Neurospora crassa OR74A: one gene and its partners. The protein of the gene in region 2 purifies or fractionates together with the protein of the main gene of each other region. This does not show direct contact. Links are inferred from orthologs where the notes say so. Each region holds a gene or a part of one and is shown on either strand. Other genes may lie near its edges.

Region 1 (5,349 bases), on a different chromosome or scaffold from region 2:
GGTCTGCGGATTAGTGCTGAACTGAATGACTGAGACTTGGGCTGTGAACCCCACTGTCCCTCCTCGGATGTCCATGCCAAGACCGCTCTCTCGTTGGATGTCCAGACCACAAAGTGTAGCAAAGCATCACCATCGGGCAGCTTCGCCGCCAGCAGAGTTAAGGTCGCCGATGAGATACAACAGAATATGAACATTTGAGTAGTATTGTGCTTCGGGCTCGTCATGTACTTTGATGGGAGATGAAGGAACTGGCACGGCCCAAAGGCTGTGGTCCCGTCAGTTATGGATGCTGCACTTTATACATATACGCCAAGATACCCACTCTACGAACCACTCAGTAGACGTGTAGATCTCAGTTGGAGTAACTGTTCATGACTCCTTTCGACATTACCTATTCGTGCCTTGACTCGGATTCTAGATGTAGTCGCTTGAGACGCACCGGTAGGTCTACACTAAGTATACACGCTTCTTTTGCATCTAACTCAAGAAGTGTATGCATTTCCAGGTCGCATCATCAATGACATGACAACGCCGCGGACTATCAACTAAGATGAAGTAACCCCGCTAAGCTTTAGGCGATTTCTAATCCTTCAACGACAACACCGTAAACACGCTCCCCTGTTTCTACTTACGCATCTCTTTTCCCTTTTCCCTCATTCATCGCTTTTTCGGCCATAACGTTGGTGAAACAGTCGTCCCTGAGAAGATGAAGGAAGAAAAGACCCGCGATGTCGGGGATGATGTTGAGCGTTTATCCGCCCCCAACACGCGCCGTCAACGGCGAGGATTCGGCCGCAAGTTCTGGGCCGCCGTGATCATCTCTCTTTTATTGCTTCACCTTCTCGTCCGACCCGCCAGCTATGGCATGTCGGGTTGCCTGCCCAGCTACCCGAGGGAGAAGAGCATTGAAAAACGCGTGAAGCGTATCCTGTCACACACTCCATTGATCGGTACGACCACAAATCAATAATTATTCACCAAATACTGACATAGAGTATAGATGGACACAATGATTTGCCAATCCTGCTGCGAGCCGCTTTCAAGAACCACATCAATGACAAGAACTTTACCACCGGCTGGGAAGACGGCACGCTCCCCGGTCATGTCGACCTTGCACGCCTGAGAGCTGGTATGAACGGAGGGGCCTTCTGGAGCTTGTTCTGGCCTTGCCCTGCCAACGGCTCCGACTTTTCTGATGAAAACTATCTGCCCGGTGGGTTCAACCTTTCACGCAGCCTTACTGCATAGCACGTCAAGAGAAAAAGAGTCTGACATTATCCCTTTCCAACCACACAGCCGTCCAGGCTACCCTCCAACAGATCGACCTAGTCGACCGCCTCAAAGCCGCCTATCCCAAGGACCTCGGGCCGGCAGTCTCCAGCAAAGCCGCCTACAAGGCCTGGAAGCACCACAACCAGCTCATCTCGCCCATGGGCATCGAGGGCCTGCACCAGATCGGCAACTCGGCCGCCACGCTGCGGCGCTACCACGCCCTGGGCGTCCGCTACGCGACCTTGGTCCACAACTGCGGCAACAAGTACGCCGACGCCGCCCTGCAGGAGAACCCATTCCGCAAGGCCCCGTCCCACTGGGGCGGCGTCAGCCCGGCCGGCGAAGCCCTAGTCAACGAGATGAACCGCATCGGCATGATCGTGGATCTGGCCCACACCAGCGTCGACACGATGAAGGATGTTTTGGGTGGCTCGGGCAAGGACTGGAATGGCAGCAGGGCCCCTGTCATCTTCAGCCACTCGAGCGCCTACGCGCTGTGCCCCCACCCGCGCAACGTGCCGGATGACGTCCTTCGTCTGGTCAAGGAGCGCAACTCGCTGGTTATGGTCAACTTCTCACCCGACTTTATCTCGTGCGTGGCGGCGCCGGACAGGGACGATGGGCTGCCGGATTTTTACCCGGCCAATGCGACTCTGGAGCATGTGGCTGACCATATCATTCATATTGGCGAGCTGATTGGATATGATCATGTCGGTCTGGGTAGTGACTTTGATGGGATTCCAGTCGTCCCGAAGGGACTGGAAGATGTCTCGCGCTACCCGGACTTGGTGGCCGAGCTGCTTCGACGGGGTGTTAGTGATGAGGATGTGAGCAAGGTCGTGGGCGGTAACATACTCCGCGTGTGGAGGGATGTTGAGCTCGTGGCGGCTACGATGCAAGCTGCTGGTGAGTCGGCTCTGGAGGATGATCTGCCTAACTTGATGCCCGAGGAGTAGACATCTGAATGGGCGGCACGTAGAGAAAATTACCGTGTTTCCGCAAAGTTTTGTGGCAGCGTAGATAGCTCCAAGATGAGCCTGCAGATGGCAAGCTGCTTATATAAAGACACAAGATCTGGCTAGCATATAGACTCGGGAATTGGGTATCATAAATGTCTGTCGTGATTCGAGTCAATAAGCAAAAAGTTGCCCGTGTTTTGACTTGATCCGATGAATTGCTCTACAACGCCGCGCCTGATTCCTTTTGCGTCCCAGCGTGTCTTCGTTCTGGCTTGACGTATCGTACACTGATTTTGCCTGCCTGCCTGCTCTAAAAGCTCGACAACACCCAGCCGAGCCACGTCAGGCACATCTCTTTCTTCTCTGTCCATGCGTTCGATCCCATGGTCCGACAGCTATCGAAGCAAATGTCGCGTAGCAGAATTGCTCCAGAAATATCCAGACGTCATGGTATTCTCCAAGGTTCCCGTCACCATTACCGTCATCGACTCGCTCAACCGTGGCGCTCGATCTTGTTGAGCTTCCTGGCGTTGGCGATCTGGTTCCTCGTCTGCTGACCGCGCACGGGCAGACCCATGGCATGGCGACGACCGCGGTAGGTACCCATATCACGGAGGCGCTTGATGTTGTCCAGCACCAGCCTCCTGGCGTCGTTCTCGATTGTCATGGTCGACAGTTCGGCCGTCAGGGCAGTGACGATCTTGGGCGGGAGGGTGCCCATCTTCGCGCGCGGGTGGATCGAATACTTTGCGAGAATGCGGGCAGAGGCCTGCTGGCCTAGGCCGTAGAAGCTCTCGAGAGCTTTCTGTGGTTCGCAAGTGGAAGGTTAACCAGGGTGATTCTTGGAGCGCAGAGGAGGACGAGGACGAGGACGAGGAGGAGAGCGCACCTGGACGAGCTTGTGCTCATTGAAGTTGACTCCCAGGATGAACACCTAGCAATAAAATGTTAGAACTTTTGGACAAATATTCCCGGAAATCGCAGAGGCCGTTGTAGGTACCATCTTGTTAGCCGACGATAAGTCACCTTGTCGCAATGGGCATAACTCGGTTCAGGAATCGCGGAGGAGTCTCGACTCTCAGCTCTCAGCAACCCGCAACCCGCGATTTGGAACCGGGCGTGCAGACTTGCCGGGCAGGCGGCGGATCGTGGGGGAGCCCGCATTGGCCGGTGCAAATCCGCAGCGGAGCATTTGGGGTGCGGGACAGCTGGCATCCCATGCTCCGCCAGCTGTCGCCATAAAGGTTATACACATGCGATTGTACCTCATGCATACACTTTACCGTATGAGTCTTGCGAAAAGAAAGCCAAAATTTCATGGCGATGTGCCAAAAATGCAGATGAACAACCACTCACCATACACATCATGACGATCGACTTTACTGCGAGGCCAGAAAAGCCTCTTCCATACTCGGATGATTTTTCATCTGCAGACCAATATGTCGACAGTCTGCTGGACTTTGCGACCAATTCCCACCTTTTCCAGTTTCTCTGTGGTGGTGTCCACATTCTTGACTTCTTCACCAGCGAGCCCGGCCTATTTGTCTCTGCCGTTCCCAAGGAATGGCAGGAGTACCTGGTGCAGACCGAGCCCATGGTCCTTTTGGATTTCTTGATGAGAGATGATCTTGACACACTTGCCGCGCAAACTGGCCCGGGACAGCCTCCCGAGACGCTGGTTCAATATGTCAAGGATATCAGGAAACTTTCTTTACGACGCTCCTTCCAGCCCAGCAAGCCAAAACTACCGGTGCTTCCTCGGCAGGTAGCTTTGGGAATGAACACCAAGAAAGTTCACGAAGTCACTCACTTTTCCGGATACATCGACAGGCTCTCGGAGGACGTCGCTCGGGTGAGGGGACAGGAACTGACGCACTTGGTAGACTTTGGCAGTGGCCAGAATTATCTAGGCCGCGCTCTGGCGAGTCCTCCGTACAACAAGCATATTGTTGCCGTGGAGAGCAAGGAGGCCAACACAGCAGGCGCTAAGGATCTCGATATCTTGTCCGGTCTAGCTGAGCGGGAGAAGAGAATCCGCAACAAGAAGCTCTACCACCGCATTATGGAAAGTGTAGATCCGTCAGAAGCCAACGATGAAGAGGCACTGAAGCGCGCCGCAAAGGCACTGGGTGTGACAGACGAAGATATTGCTACCATTGATCTCCGATCGAGAAAGGAGCTTCAGGCCACTTATGCGCGGGAGGAAGGAAAGGGCAGCATTGAGTACGTCGTTGCCAAGTTGGGAGATGCCGACTTGGCCCCTGTGATCTCCCAGCTGGAGTACACGGAAACTCACAGCGAGGATGATCTCAGCATGATGGCTGTGTCCATCCACTCATGTGGCAACCTCTCTCACTACGGCATCCGGTCCATGGTCCTCAACTCGTCTATCCACGCCGTTGCAATCGTGGGTTGCTGCTACAACCTTCTCACCGAAAAACTGGGTCCTCCGACTTTCAAGCCTTGCTTCAGTCGGCCAACCCTTCAGCCATTGAATGCTCGTGTTGTTAGGGAGTCCGAGAGACGAGATCCCCAGGGTTTCCCCATGAGTGAGAAACTCTCCACCTACAATGACCAAGGCATCCGACTCAACATTACAGCGCGTATGATGGCGTGCCAAGCACCCGGGAACTGGACCGACAAGGAGAGCGATGCCTTCTTCACCCGCCACTTTTACCGCGCCGTCTTGCAAAGGATATTCCTCGACAAGGGGGTCATTTCCAAGGTCTACCACGGGCCAAGCGAGGGCGAGGGCGAGGGCGAGGATGGCAACGAGAGCCCGTTCAACTTCAGCACCAACCCCGTCGTGATCGGCTCACTCAGGAAGCAATGCTACACCTCGTTCAGCGCCTACGTCCGCGGAGCGATCACGAAGCTAACGACCAACTCGGACTTTAGCCAGTACAGCCAGATTGTACGCGAGAAGCTAAGTGACATCACCGACGAGGAGATTGCCAAGTACGAGGCCGCGTACCTGCCCCGAAAGCGGGAGCTCAGCGCAGTCTGGAGCCTGATGGCCTTTAGCGCGTGCGTTGTTGAGTCCCTTATCGTGACTGACCGGTACCTGTTCCTCAAGGAACATTCCGATATTGTTCGCGACTGCTGGGTGGAGACAGTA
Region 2 (5,396 bases):
CTTTGATCTTGATGTCATATATCACGCTTTAAATCTTGCCAGATCTAAAACACCCATTCACCTGGAGACACATGTGTCAAGTCGGCATGGGGCTTATATGAGCGAGTCTACATGTTCACCTCCAGACGGCACCAAACAAGCCTCTCCTTCTTACCCCAATTGGATGTGCCCCTTTTGTCATTGTTTATTAGCCCCTTTATTTTGGAAGGCGTGACTTCAGGAAACCTCCAAACAAAACACGTTATCAAGATTCGACGAGGTGACACCATCAAGTACCCAGACTCCATATTCAAAGAATGTGAAACTAATTATACCAATAGAATTTTGAAGAGACCTTTGGGGCTCTCTAGAATGGCCCCTACTACTTCAGCGTCCGTGCTGGCGGGCAAGGAAGAATCGCGCAATGATCAAGAGCTAAAGCCCGACACCAGAGCTGAGAGCTACTCTCAGTTACATGTTGAGACTGTGAGCGGCATCAACTTGACAGCAGCCACCTTTGTTGCGGGTGCAGCATCCTCCACCGCAGCCGGGCTTCTCCTCTCTGGTCTATCATGGCTATGGCTCATCTCCCTCGTCATCACCGTCGGGATAGTGCTTGGTACCTTTATTGTCTACCGGCACTTTGAAATGATACGCCGGCGTCAAAAGCCAGGTGGCAGCTGGCTCGTCCCCAGCAATACGCCCCAACCCAATGCCGCTGGCACACAAGTTCCCAACACCACCTCTCTTCCTGCTATTTACTTCACATATATACTTGGCTCTGGTGGACACACTGCTGAGATGATTGAGACCATCAAGCAGTCATTTCGCGGCCAGGCAAACATCCACCGGCGGTACATCATCTCCATCGGAGACACTTCCTCTCTCGGCAAGGCCCGCCTTCTGGAAGCGACTATCAAGGACGCCTATCCCGGAGAAGATGATCGAGCAGGCACCTCTGATATCTTCTTAATCCGCCGTGCGCGCAAGGTCCATCAACCGCTCTATACGGCACCCTTTACCTGCCTCATATCCGCCTTTCATGCCGCCAATGCCCTCACACGGATGCCCAACCCACGGTCAACAAAGGATCATGGAAAGGGATTCAGATACCCGCATGTGATTGTTACAAATGGGCCTGCCAACGGCTTTATTGTGTGTTTGGTGGCCCACTTGCTCAAGATATTCTACCTCGTACCCGAAAACAGGGCCAAGGTGGTGTACATCGAGACCTGGGCCAGGTCCAAGACGATGAGTCTGACGGGGAAGTTGTTTCTAAAAACGGGCATTGCCGATGTTGTCGGTGTGCAGCACGAGAGTCTGGCGAAAATATTCAAGGGCAGTCAGTATATCGGGCCGGTGTCTGCCGGGTTTCTTCGAAGATAGGCGACCAGGCTCCTGAATCACATGTACTTCTACAAAGTCTCTTGCCCTCTCTATATGTACAAAGAGACGTGATATTCTTACACTTGTGCACGAGTGGGCCGGCATCGTCTTTCCCCGACACGGATGGGTATCAGCCACGCTATACCACTCTGTCCCTCCCCTTTTACTCCAATTCGTTGCCTTAATTCTGCGCGAGCAGCTCGTCCTCCTCAGATTCCTCGAGCGCAGAGTTGTCGACGACATTGGTGTACATGGAAGCCCTGGCAGATTCCTGGCGGGCGATCTCGGTCGTAGCCCACTTCTTCCAACTCTCATACGTCTTGTTCTCGAGCTCCATGCCGACCGTCAGAAGGTCCTTGCCAAAGTAGCCACCAACCATGCGGGCCTCCTCGACGGCTATCCTGCGCTCCATCTGCTCCAACTGCCTCAACTTGTAGAACTCGTGGCGCGCCTTGTCGTAGGCTTCCTGCTTGGTCATGCCTTGATTCTCCATAAGCCAGAGCTGACGTTGAACGACACTATCGTTTGCGATTCGGGTTAGCATCCAATTTCCATGCCTGTCCGCCGGGCTTTTGCGCCATGTGCAATGCGCTCATCCAACAACGTACCTCTCGCCGGACAAGGGGATGCCGCGTTGCCTGAGGCCCTTGGACCAGTCAAGGAAACGGGCGTCCTTGCCATCCAACTCGATAATCATCCTAGGCCTGGCCAACTCCCAAGGGTGGTCGCGGTAGAAGTCGCGGCGCAACTCATCTTCGGGATAGACGATCTTGGTGGGCCTAAAGAGGTTGCGTGGCTTGCGCGCTCGCGGGTTCGGCGGAGAGTGCTGGATCGGATACGGTCTGGTGTTGATCTCAGCGGGAGGGATGGACTCGATGGCCTTGAGCCACAGTGGTGGGTTCCGTGGTGGCAGGCCAGAGACGATGTTGGTGGCAGCAGCCTCGCTGGCCCTCTGGTAGACCTTTGCGGCCTGGAAGATGCGCCCCTTGCCCATCTTGTCCGGTCGTCGCTGGCGGCGTTTGGGTGTTGTGGAGGGAATTACTGGTGATAATCGACGGCAGCGGTGGTGTTGGCTGAGATCAGAGGACCATTGGCGGATTCGGCGGTCCTTTCGTTCCTCAGGTACCCTCCCAAGGCAAAGGCAAGGCTACGAGGTTACGGGGTGTGTATACCTGTGTAAGGTAATAATAATACACTGCGCTGCGCTGCGTAGGCACAATGGATTCCCTCACCCGCCAAACCTATCGTTATCGCTATTTGCTTAGCTTTGTCCAAAGTGGAGCTGTGCCTTTTGGAGACAGGCACGATCCGACACGACCTTCAGTTGTTGCCGGTAACCCGCGCGACCTGCTGTCCTGCCTGCCGCGAGCGGGCGAGCAATTGGAAGGACGTGCCGGCAAAAAAAAAATAGTTCCCCGCCCCGCCATTAAGCGACCAAAGGGAAGGGAAGTACCTAGCTAGGTGCTTATCGATAACAGAAGTGGGGGTCTTGAGCCCGGCCGAGACTGGACCCTATTCCAGCTTCCCCTCTTTCGTAGAGGCAGGGGTGGGGTGTGCTCACGGCAAGGTACCTGGAGCTGTGCCTCGTCCATGTATTGTAGTGTACACCACTACACTACCCCAACTTTTTCTCAATCATCGCGTCGCTCACCCGACCCCAGTTTCCTGCCACATCCCTCCTCACTTCATGACTCGAGTTCTCCCCATTCTCCCCATACTTCCCCGCCCTCCACGAATCTGACGCCCTGACCACATCGACCTGAGTACGATCCAATTCGCCAGTAACCGCGATTGCATCGAGTGCCAATCGAGTGCGCAGCAGCCAGCAGCTTGTGATTGCGTCTTCTCTGAGCTCTTCTTCATCGAATTGCGGCCGACACTCGCGGGGAACAGGCAAGAAAAGGTTGGCTGAATGGGCAGGCCATCATGTTGGACGGCGGCAGCTCATGAAAGTCTCCAGCCGATTTGAAGGGTCGATATGCGGCACCATCTTCTTGCATCGTCCGTCGTGGAATTGGTCTGCCATTGCCGCCTCCGCAACCGCAATTGCTGCCACCAGTTCCGTGTCGCAAACCACAGCATCCATCCAGCTCGGTGACCAAGGCAGCGGACGAAGAAGACAGGTTGCGACAGCAGGCCTCGGCCCAGTACAACAACGACGGTGCTTCCACGGCAGCTGGAGCTCACAAAGTGGTGGCCTTGTCGATGGGGTCGCGAGGAGACCCATAGGCGGCTCCACCGGTTGCCCGCTACTGACCACCCCATCCCTGCGGGTAACTCCCACCAGTCTGTCCGGCACGAACAGCAGACGAGCACTCGACTCCAACTTCTTCCGCTATTCGGTCTCTGCTCCCCAAAAGCGGAGCCACACGGCGGCGGCGGCGGCGGCGGCAGCCCCGGTCCCTGACCCCGTTGCCGCAGCTGCCCCCGAACCCAGTGCCGATCAGAAGCCCGCCGACTCTGTCTTCTCGGCCCCATCCGCGCTACATGACGATCTATCGACCGAGTCCCACTCGGGCGCAAACCCACAATCACAAGAGCTGCCCGAATCCCACAGTGCGAAGCTCGGTCATCTCACCAAAGAAGAGCTGCTTGAACTGGTAGATCCCTATCATGATCTAGATGGAACGGTCGAAGACTACCTCAAGTTCATTCGCGATCCTTACATGCATAATTATGCGCCCGCTGATAGGCCCCGGTTCACCTTTGTACAAAATGAAGATGACTACGAGTATCCAGGCCCGGACGAAGTGGTTGGACTGGACGAATTTGGCCAACACACACTGAGCGATCTCAGGTTTGCTGTACTCGTGCGGCTGCGCACTCCACACAAGGTTGACCTTGACACGATCTACGACCTCTACCAGCAACTGCCGGAACCGCGCATGCCCTACATCAATGGTCGATTGCGACATCAGCTCCTAAAAGCATTAGGGCAGCCTCAGCGGAGAAACTCCAAGTCCATGCTGCGGTACTTCGCCGTCATAGCGGATGTGAGGAACTGCAGCATGCCCTTGACGGCAGGGGAGTGGAATTGCGCCATCTCTTTTGCAAGCCGATATGTTGGCACTGTCACCGAAACTCAGGCGCAGTCTGCCATGAGACTGTGGCGCGAGATGGAAGTCGACGCTGGCATCAAGGCGACCGAGGTAACCTTCAACATTTTGTTTGATGTGGCCTCGAAGGCTGGCAACTTCACTCTCGCTGAAATGATTTACCAAGAAATGGTCAGTCGTGGGCACTATTTCAACCGCTATCACCACGTAAGCTTGATCCATTTCTTTGGGCTCAAGAGGGAGACTGGTGGACTGCGCGCCGCGTTTCGGGAGATGGTTGAGGCCGGCGAGATGATTGACACGGTTGTCCTCAACGCCGTCATATCTGGACTGTTGCGATCGGGCGAGGAAGCAGCGGCCGAGCGTATTTATGCTCGCATGGTGGCTTCTATCGCGAAGTGGTCGGAGGTGTCATTCCCAACCCGGAGCTATGCCAGCGATCGCGCCATCACCCAGGCGCTGAAGATGATGGCCCGGGTTGCAAAGAAAGCTCCCGAGTTGCAACACAGCTTTCAAGAGATGGTACCAATGCATCCGAACCTTCGGACGTATAGCATTCTGGTCAAATATTACGGCGTTCGGTGCGGAGATCTCTCCCGCGTGGCCAAGTACATCGACGATATGAAGCTGTTTGATATCCCTGTTCACGGCTCCATCTTCAAGGTTTTGTTCAGAGCTTTTGACCGTCATGGAGGTTACGCAACTTCAGCATGGAGCGCGAGGCGGTTAGAATCAATCTATTCGGCCCTGCTAGAAGCCATAGATGCTGGACGCACACTTATTCATGACTCGGCCCCTCCACCAGTTGACGAGGCAGCGTTTACTGATGATCAAGCTCAAGAAACCCAATTTCATGAGCCAGTTCAGGTCCAGCAAGATCATATCCAGGAGGAACACCTTCCTGATATTTACGACGATGAAGCTGAACTCCCCTTCGAAGAGGAGGAGTACCAACAAAAGAAAGAATGGGGTGTC
Region 3 (6,143 bases), on a different chromosome or scaffold from region 2:
GAGGATATAGATGCGGTAAGGATAAAAGTCGTTGCTATAGCTGTAGATGCTGATGTTGTATGCAATCTAGAGCAGCGGCTTCGTTGTTTCGGTCGTATTTGACGTGTGAAAGGATGTGAAGATTCCTTCTAGGTGATGGCGATGTCGTGTAGCGGGCGGCGGTGTGGCCCCGTTATACGGTAGGTAAGGGCGACGTGCGTCGTCAGCGTGGGAGAATAACAACAGGAGGGCGATACTGTAAGCTCGCAATATGCCGAGCCAGCATTGTGTTGTGCGAGAGGGGGAAGGACAGAAGGACCGGAAGAAGGGAGGAGACTGAGAGAGAAATGCGCGGTGCAGTGGTGACGGGACTGGGGAGGGGGAGGCTGCAACGTTTTCGACTTTGTTGGTCGGGTGAACCTCCTGTGCTTTCACCACACCTGCAGCTAGGCACAGGCACAGGCGCAGACCAGGATGCTAGCAATAGGCTAGGCTCGGGTCTTGGGTTGCTGGGGTCTTCGGGTTCTAGGTCTTGGGTGTGGATTTCAAGGCTGGGCTCGTTCTTGGTCGCTTTTTCCAGCAGACTTTCAGTCGATCACCTGCATGTACATGTTGCGGGGCGACGGCTGCCGTGTGAGCGTACATTAGCTGTAACGTTCGGTAGGTAAGGTAGGTCCTGACGGTCCTGACGGATCGACCAAGTGAGCTCATGTTTTTCCTTTGTTCTTTTCGCTCTTCCCTTTTCGGCGAAACGTTGGAGGCCGCTCGCTGCTACTTGCCCGGGATGGATGTCGCTCACTCTTTTTCTAGTGTAAGGGTCTCCCCTCGCCACCTAAGGATCCTTACCGAATGCCAAGCTGCGGCCGATCAGAATACTCGAGTCGACGGGCTTGAAGACGGATGCTGTAACAAACCAAGCGACACTTCAGTAGAGCCAAGACAGACTGCGGGCTGGGCAAGTGCTGGGCAGTGTCACTGCCTGCCTGTGGTTTAAGGTGTAAGGCTTGAGTACCTATCCCAGAAACCTGGATGACGGACCAACTCGCGGCGGGACGGGTTGTTGTGTGCAGTCTGGGCGTTATTGCTGTGTTCAGTTGTTGTGGTTATCTGTTTGTTGCCCTTTTTGGAATTCCGTCATCACACGACCGAGTTGGTGAAAGTTGCAGATATCAAGTAAGTAGAAGTGAGTAATCAGCCAACGCCGCTTCGCATGGGCTGCCACTCAACTGGGTAATGTTGCAAAGAACATGAACAATCATGTAAGTGGATGAAGTAAGTACCCTTTAAATTTAAGGTTGATTATTTGCCTCCCGCCAAGATCTCTGCACCCGCCCCCAGGTTCAGGCGTTGGAAAGGGGACCTGGACTTTGCGTTCAAGAGCTCCAATGGAACATTTTTGACCGAGCTAGAAGAGTTCCAACATTGCTTGCCCGAGCTGAGTCAGGGTAATAACCGAATCCCATGCTCGGCATTTCTTGATCCACCAGACCACGCGCTGCGCCGCCGTTGGCCCCACACGAGACAGCGACAGTTGTTTGATGATTCTCTTTTCAGCCACAACCTCAAATTGCGTCTATAAGTATGTAATGTGTTGCGATGACATAGGGAAAAAACAAGAGTAAAATGATAAGTCGAAGTGGTCGTGATCTAGGAGACGTAATTGCGCATGTGATGGATGTTTGGGTACCTAGTCTTTGCTTGTCACACTGCATCGTCCTGAGCGTGATTAGAGCCCACTTTCTGTGACCGACAAACTCAATTGACGTGGTCGGTTTTCAGTTATCATCTACTGGTTATGAATATCAAGTTCTTTCCTCTTACTTCCTTATGACTATCGATGCTGCTCCTGAGCACACCTCAAAAAAGATTACTCGCAACAAGGATCACTCCTGTTGACGGCTCTCTTGCTACAACTCCATTCGAAACCCCAAGTTATTCGACCTCCTGCGATGCTCGTGATAAAAGTCATCTGACAAGACAGCAAACAATCCTCGTCATGTAACAAGCCGTGGTATTCAGAATCCTGTAGAAACTCGTATACAAATTGTACAGCCCGTGTGTCGATATCTTAGCCGGATCACTCCAGGCTGAGATCCACTGCTGACCTTTTTTTAAACCACATTGTAGCTATAGGTTGTGCGTAGTATGTTTGTGTCCATTACCTCTAAATCCAAGAATATGGTCAGTCAAGGGTCATTGGCCACCATCAACCTCGCCAGAACCGTAACCAAACAAGCTAAGACAAGACACCCGGCTTCACAATGAGCCCAAAACCTTTCACCGGCTTTTTCGCTCCATCACAGAGGCGGCAGCAGCAGCAGCAGCAGCAGCAGCAGCAAAGTAGGAGCATACATATCCATACACACACAAAAAACTAGTATACACAAGAAAAAGGCTGTCGGTCAGAGATTGCTTGGCTTCGCTATGTTGTTGGCTTAACAGGGTGTCCATCAATCAATCAATCAACCAATCAACCTCAGAACCTCTTGCCCTTCAACTGCAGCGCCGGCGAGTTCAGATTGGCTCTGTTGGCCGTGCCCAGCTTGTGAATCAACATCCGCTTATCCCAGACCGAGCTCCTGCCCTCGACGACAGCCACAATCTCCTCAGCCACGCGGTGCGCAAACATGGTGCGACCGGATCCCTTGCTCGGCTTCTTGTTGACCACATCCAGAATCCACTTGAAGGCCGTGGAGCGGCGCTGGCGCGCCGGGATGGGCTGCGGCACTTCGAGAGAGCGACCACCACCGGCCAGACCCTTGTAGCCGCGCATCTTGATCAGGGGCGCTACCGAGTCAATGGCGACCGTGAGGTACTCGACCGGGTTGAGCGGCAGGTGCGAGGCCGGAGGGTGGCCGGGGATCAGAGGGCGCGAGGGGTTGAGTTTGGGAGGGGGCGAGGAGCGGAGGTAGTTTAGGATCATGGCCATGTCCTGTTATGTTAAGAAAAAGGATAGTGTGTTAGCTTTGTGATCGCAAAGTAGTTTGAGCAGAGGTGCCGTAGGTAAAGTGGGAGTAATGGGCATATGGGGGAGGGACCGTCGTACCCTCTGCGCCTTGCTCAGCTTTCCATCCTTCATGAGTAGCTTGGTAGCGTGGTTGACGACCTCCGAGTAGCGGTACTTGTGGTGCAGCTCCGACGGCAGCGGCAGCGTAGGCAGACCGTACTTGTGGCCCTCGATCGCGACGTCGGCCGCCTTGACACCGTATGCGATCTCCGACAACTGGGACAGGGCGGCAGCGTTCTCGGGGGTGACCTCTACTGGTGGTTGGCCTTCAATGCCGGCAAGGTCACCATTGTTGCTGTTGGGAGGAGGGGTGGTCTCGGTCGAGTATGGTTGTGTCCTTTGTTGTTGTTGCTGCTGGATTTGGACTCTGGGTGGTAGCCTCGACGAGGTGGTGGAATCTGTGATGAGGGTGCGCGCCTGCACGGCGGCGGCAATCGATTGCTGCTGAGGCAATTGGTTTGTCCGGATGGACAGGGACCGGAAGGCGGCACTGAGACCCAACCTCGCAGGCATCTTTGTTTGTGGTGGTGATGCGGGTGTTCGGTAGTGGTGATGGTGGTGGTTGAGTTTGCTGGCTAATCGGCTTGCGACGACGACGACGGTGGGGGTACACACACACGGCGCGGGGGGGCAGAACGAAGGCGGCGGACGGAGGGCGGGCCGGCTTGGGAAACACCACTCAAACACGGGGCGGACAGACACTACTACGCGCACGCAACGAACCCGCGAAGCAGCCGGGGGGAGGGACTCGAACACTCGTGATCTCGGCGGACTCTGCAATGTTTGGCCGGCGGCAGTGGCATCGAGTGGAGCCCCGGAGAGCGGGACTTCAGGAACAATTTTTTGGAGCCGTTCGCCTTTCCGGAGTTTTCCCGAGGACGACGTTGGTGCGCCGCTGCGGCTCAAACCCCCCGCCAAAAGAAAAATAAAAAAGAGGGAACGCACAGACCATAACCTTAAAAAGCCACCCCCCCTCCCCAGCTCCCCTGATCAACAACCGAACTCCATCCGGCAACTCGGACGTGGGCCCCCCCCACGCGGCGGCGTTCGTTGATCACCCAACCTGGTCCCCTACCTGGCCGTCAGTCGTCGTCATCTTGTATCCTTCCATCCTTCCATCCAATCCTCCCTGTTTGGGGAGTTTAGTTTGGACAAGGTCAACATGGTACCTTGATATCCACCAACCCACAGGCCGCGATCTCCAACTGCAGCCGATCTGGTTCCTGATCCTGATCGGCTGATCCTGGTGATGGGCCCAGGGAGGGTAGAGGTAACCCACCACCTCCTCCACCAACATGCACTTTCAAAGAATCTACACTACACTATGTACAACTGAAGCCATCAAGACAAGGGTCCTCACTGGTTACGAGTCCGAGGCTCGTTTCCTGCCAAAAGAGGTGCTAGACTAGACCGCCTCAAATGTCTCTCAACAGCAGCATAATCGGATCCGTCGGTCAAGACAAGCTGGACATGGCAAGTCAGATCGTCATTAGTGTAGATGCGGTTAAGTTCGGGACACCTAGGAAGGACAGTATGTAGATAAACTAGCAAATTGACTTCTCTACTAGGGGCATCGAACACAATGTTATTTCACACTCTGTACGCTCTGCTTGTTTATATGTGGCTCGCCTTGTCTTGACTAGGTACCTAGCTTTGTCCCTGTCATGACTTGCCGCCTCACTCTCGATGGGGTGTTCAATATCAACATGTCCACCACCTTCAGTCAAGGCAAGAAGCCGCATCGAGTTTACTTACATCTACATATCCAAGGTACCCACTAACGGTATCCCTGTTGTGCGGTGCATGATGGGTGGTGACTGGTGATTTACACCATATTTTACTATTCTACACTACACCCCCTTACGGCAAAGTGCGGTTTCTGTGGACCTGGAAGCCTGTAGTAAACCTCTGAAGAAGCAAAGTACTTTGACGTTGAGTAACGATCTAGTGTAAGAACTGGCCAGCCGCGGATAGGCAGGCGGTCATCCGTCCATTCGGTAAAAATTTCGTCGTAAATTTGTTGTGTTTGTGGTTGACCAACGAATATTCCGTTTTCTTCTTCGGGCCCCCGCGCCGTATCTACAGTCCGCCCATGCGAGAGTAACCATTCAGCTATTGGTTTGGTATGTGGTGCGGTCCCGACCCCGGCCCCCCGGCCTCGGCTCCGTGTCTTGTATTACCCCTCCGTCCCGAAGCGTTCGTTGACTAAAACAAATTGTTTTACCTCGGTTCGGATATACACTATACGGAGCATGTACGTACTGATCCCGGATACCACAAAATATCATGTTTCAGGTTGCACCAAATCCCCAATACAAAGGCTGTCGAGAGGACTAGATCGGGACTTGGTCATGCAAGAGCCACGTTGAGCTGCATAGGAGGCGCAGTGGTGGAATGCCGCCAGGTGGTCACGGGAGAGCGACCTTTCTTTTACATTGGCTAACCACTTACATAAATAGATTCTTGCCCCTGGTGTAACAAACCTGACTGTCATCTCTTCCTAAATGGTTTGGCGTTCTCATTCTATACTCCGTTGGTAGAGTTAGGCTTTTGACCGTAGGGCTGCCCAGATGTTCGCGAGATCGTCGTGTAAGGCTGCTAATTCTCGAGGTCGTCAGCTCATACACATCCTTCTCTTTCACGTGTCAACAGGTTGAACCGATCATATGTTCTTGACATTGCAGTCTGGTGTTCAAGATTTTTAAGACGCTCACTCATTAGACCAAAGGTGGAAGGAAATGACATAACCAGTCGTCAAAGCAAAAGAGAAGCCCAGCCTCGTAACGCTCATGACTGTCGTTGTACCACTCAGACCGGATCCAGCCAGTCATCTCCCCTCATCCCAAGCGTCGTTTTGAGAAAGTCGCAAAGAGTTAACTCCCGAATTTGCGTCTGCCCCCACCAGTCTCTTCCCCCCATCTCTTCCTAGACTGCCCCAACATCAATCAAAACTTTTGACCAAACTTTCGCGCAAATGCCTCCCTCCCTCGTAATAAAAGCCCTTGCCATCCCGCCAATTGTCCCTCCCTTCTCCTAGAAGAGAGACACCCCAAATTGCTGATTAAAATACCATTATATCAGATATCCCTCCTCCTTGTAGATTACCACCCGAAGAAAAACCAAAACAGAACAAAAAGGGTATTAAGTAATGGCAACT

What was found.
Region 1: the proteins of NCU03343 (region 2) and NCU09539 purify together in Saccharomyces cerevisiae (affinity purification with mass spectrometry, with the first as the bait; 3 studies listed by BioGRID). This does not show direct contact. The link is inferred for Neurospora crassa OR74A from reciprocal best matches to the Saccharomyces cerevisiae genes RSM25 and SWS2.
Region 3: the proteins of NCU03343 (region 2) and NCU04806 purify together in Saccharomyces cerevisiae (affinity purification with mass spectrometry, with the first as the bait; 3 studies listed by BioGRID). This does not show direct contact. The link is inferred for Neurospora crassa OR74A from reciprocal best matches to the Saccharomyces cerevisiae genes RSM25 and RSM7.

What each region holds. Positions count from the first base shown.
Region 1 is NC_026505.1:4,524,354-4,529,702, forward strand, and holds NCU09539 (putative mitochondrial 37S ribosomal protein SWS2), read right to left. Parts: upstream 3,394-5,349; 5' UTR 3,235-3,393; coding exon 3,232-3,234; intron 3,166-3,231; coding exon 3,121-3,165; intron 3,037-3,120; coding exon 2,725-3,036; 3' UTR 2,261-2,724; downstream 1-2,260. Other genes in the region: NCU09538 (microsomal dipeptidase), read left to right, coding at 707-950, 1,001-1,213, 1,297-2,228; NCU09540 (hypothetical protein), read left to right, coding at 3,598-5,349.
Region 2 is NC_026502.1:1,033,718-1,039,113, forward strand, and holds NCU03343 (mitochondrial 37S ribosomal protein RSM25), read right to left. Parts: upstream 2,700-5,396; 5' UTR 2,360-2,699; coding exon 1,974-2,359; intron 1,884-1,973; coding exon 1,547-1,883; 3' UTR 1,366-1,546; downstream 1-1,365. Other genes in the region: NCU03344 (hypothetical protein), read left to right, coding at 352-1,365; NCU03342 (hypothetical protein), read left to right, coding at 3,312-5,396. UniProt on the Saccharomyces cerevisiae protein: Component of the mitochondrial ribosome (mitoribosome), a dedicated translation machinery responsible for the synthesis of mitochondrial genome-encoded proteins, including at least some of the essential transmembrane subunits of the mitochondrial respiratory chain.
Region 3 is NC_026506.1:886,779-892,921, reverse strand, and holds NCU04806 (hypothetical protein), read right to left. Parts: upstream 3,882-6,143; 5' UTR 3,500-3,881; coding exon 3,026-3,499; intron 2,912-3,025; coding exon 2,456-2,911; 3' UTR 1,622-2,455; downstream 1-1,621.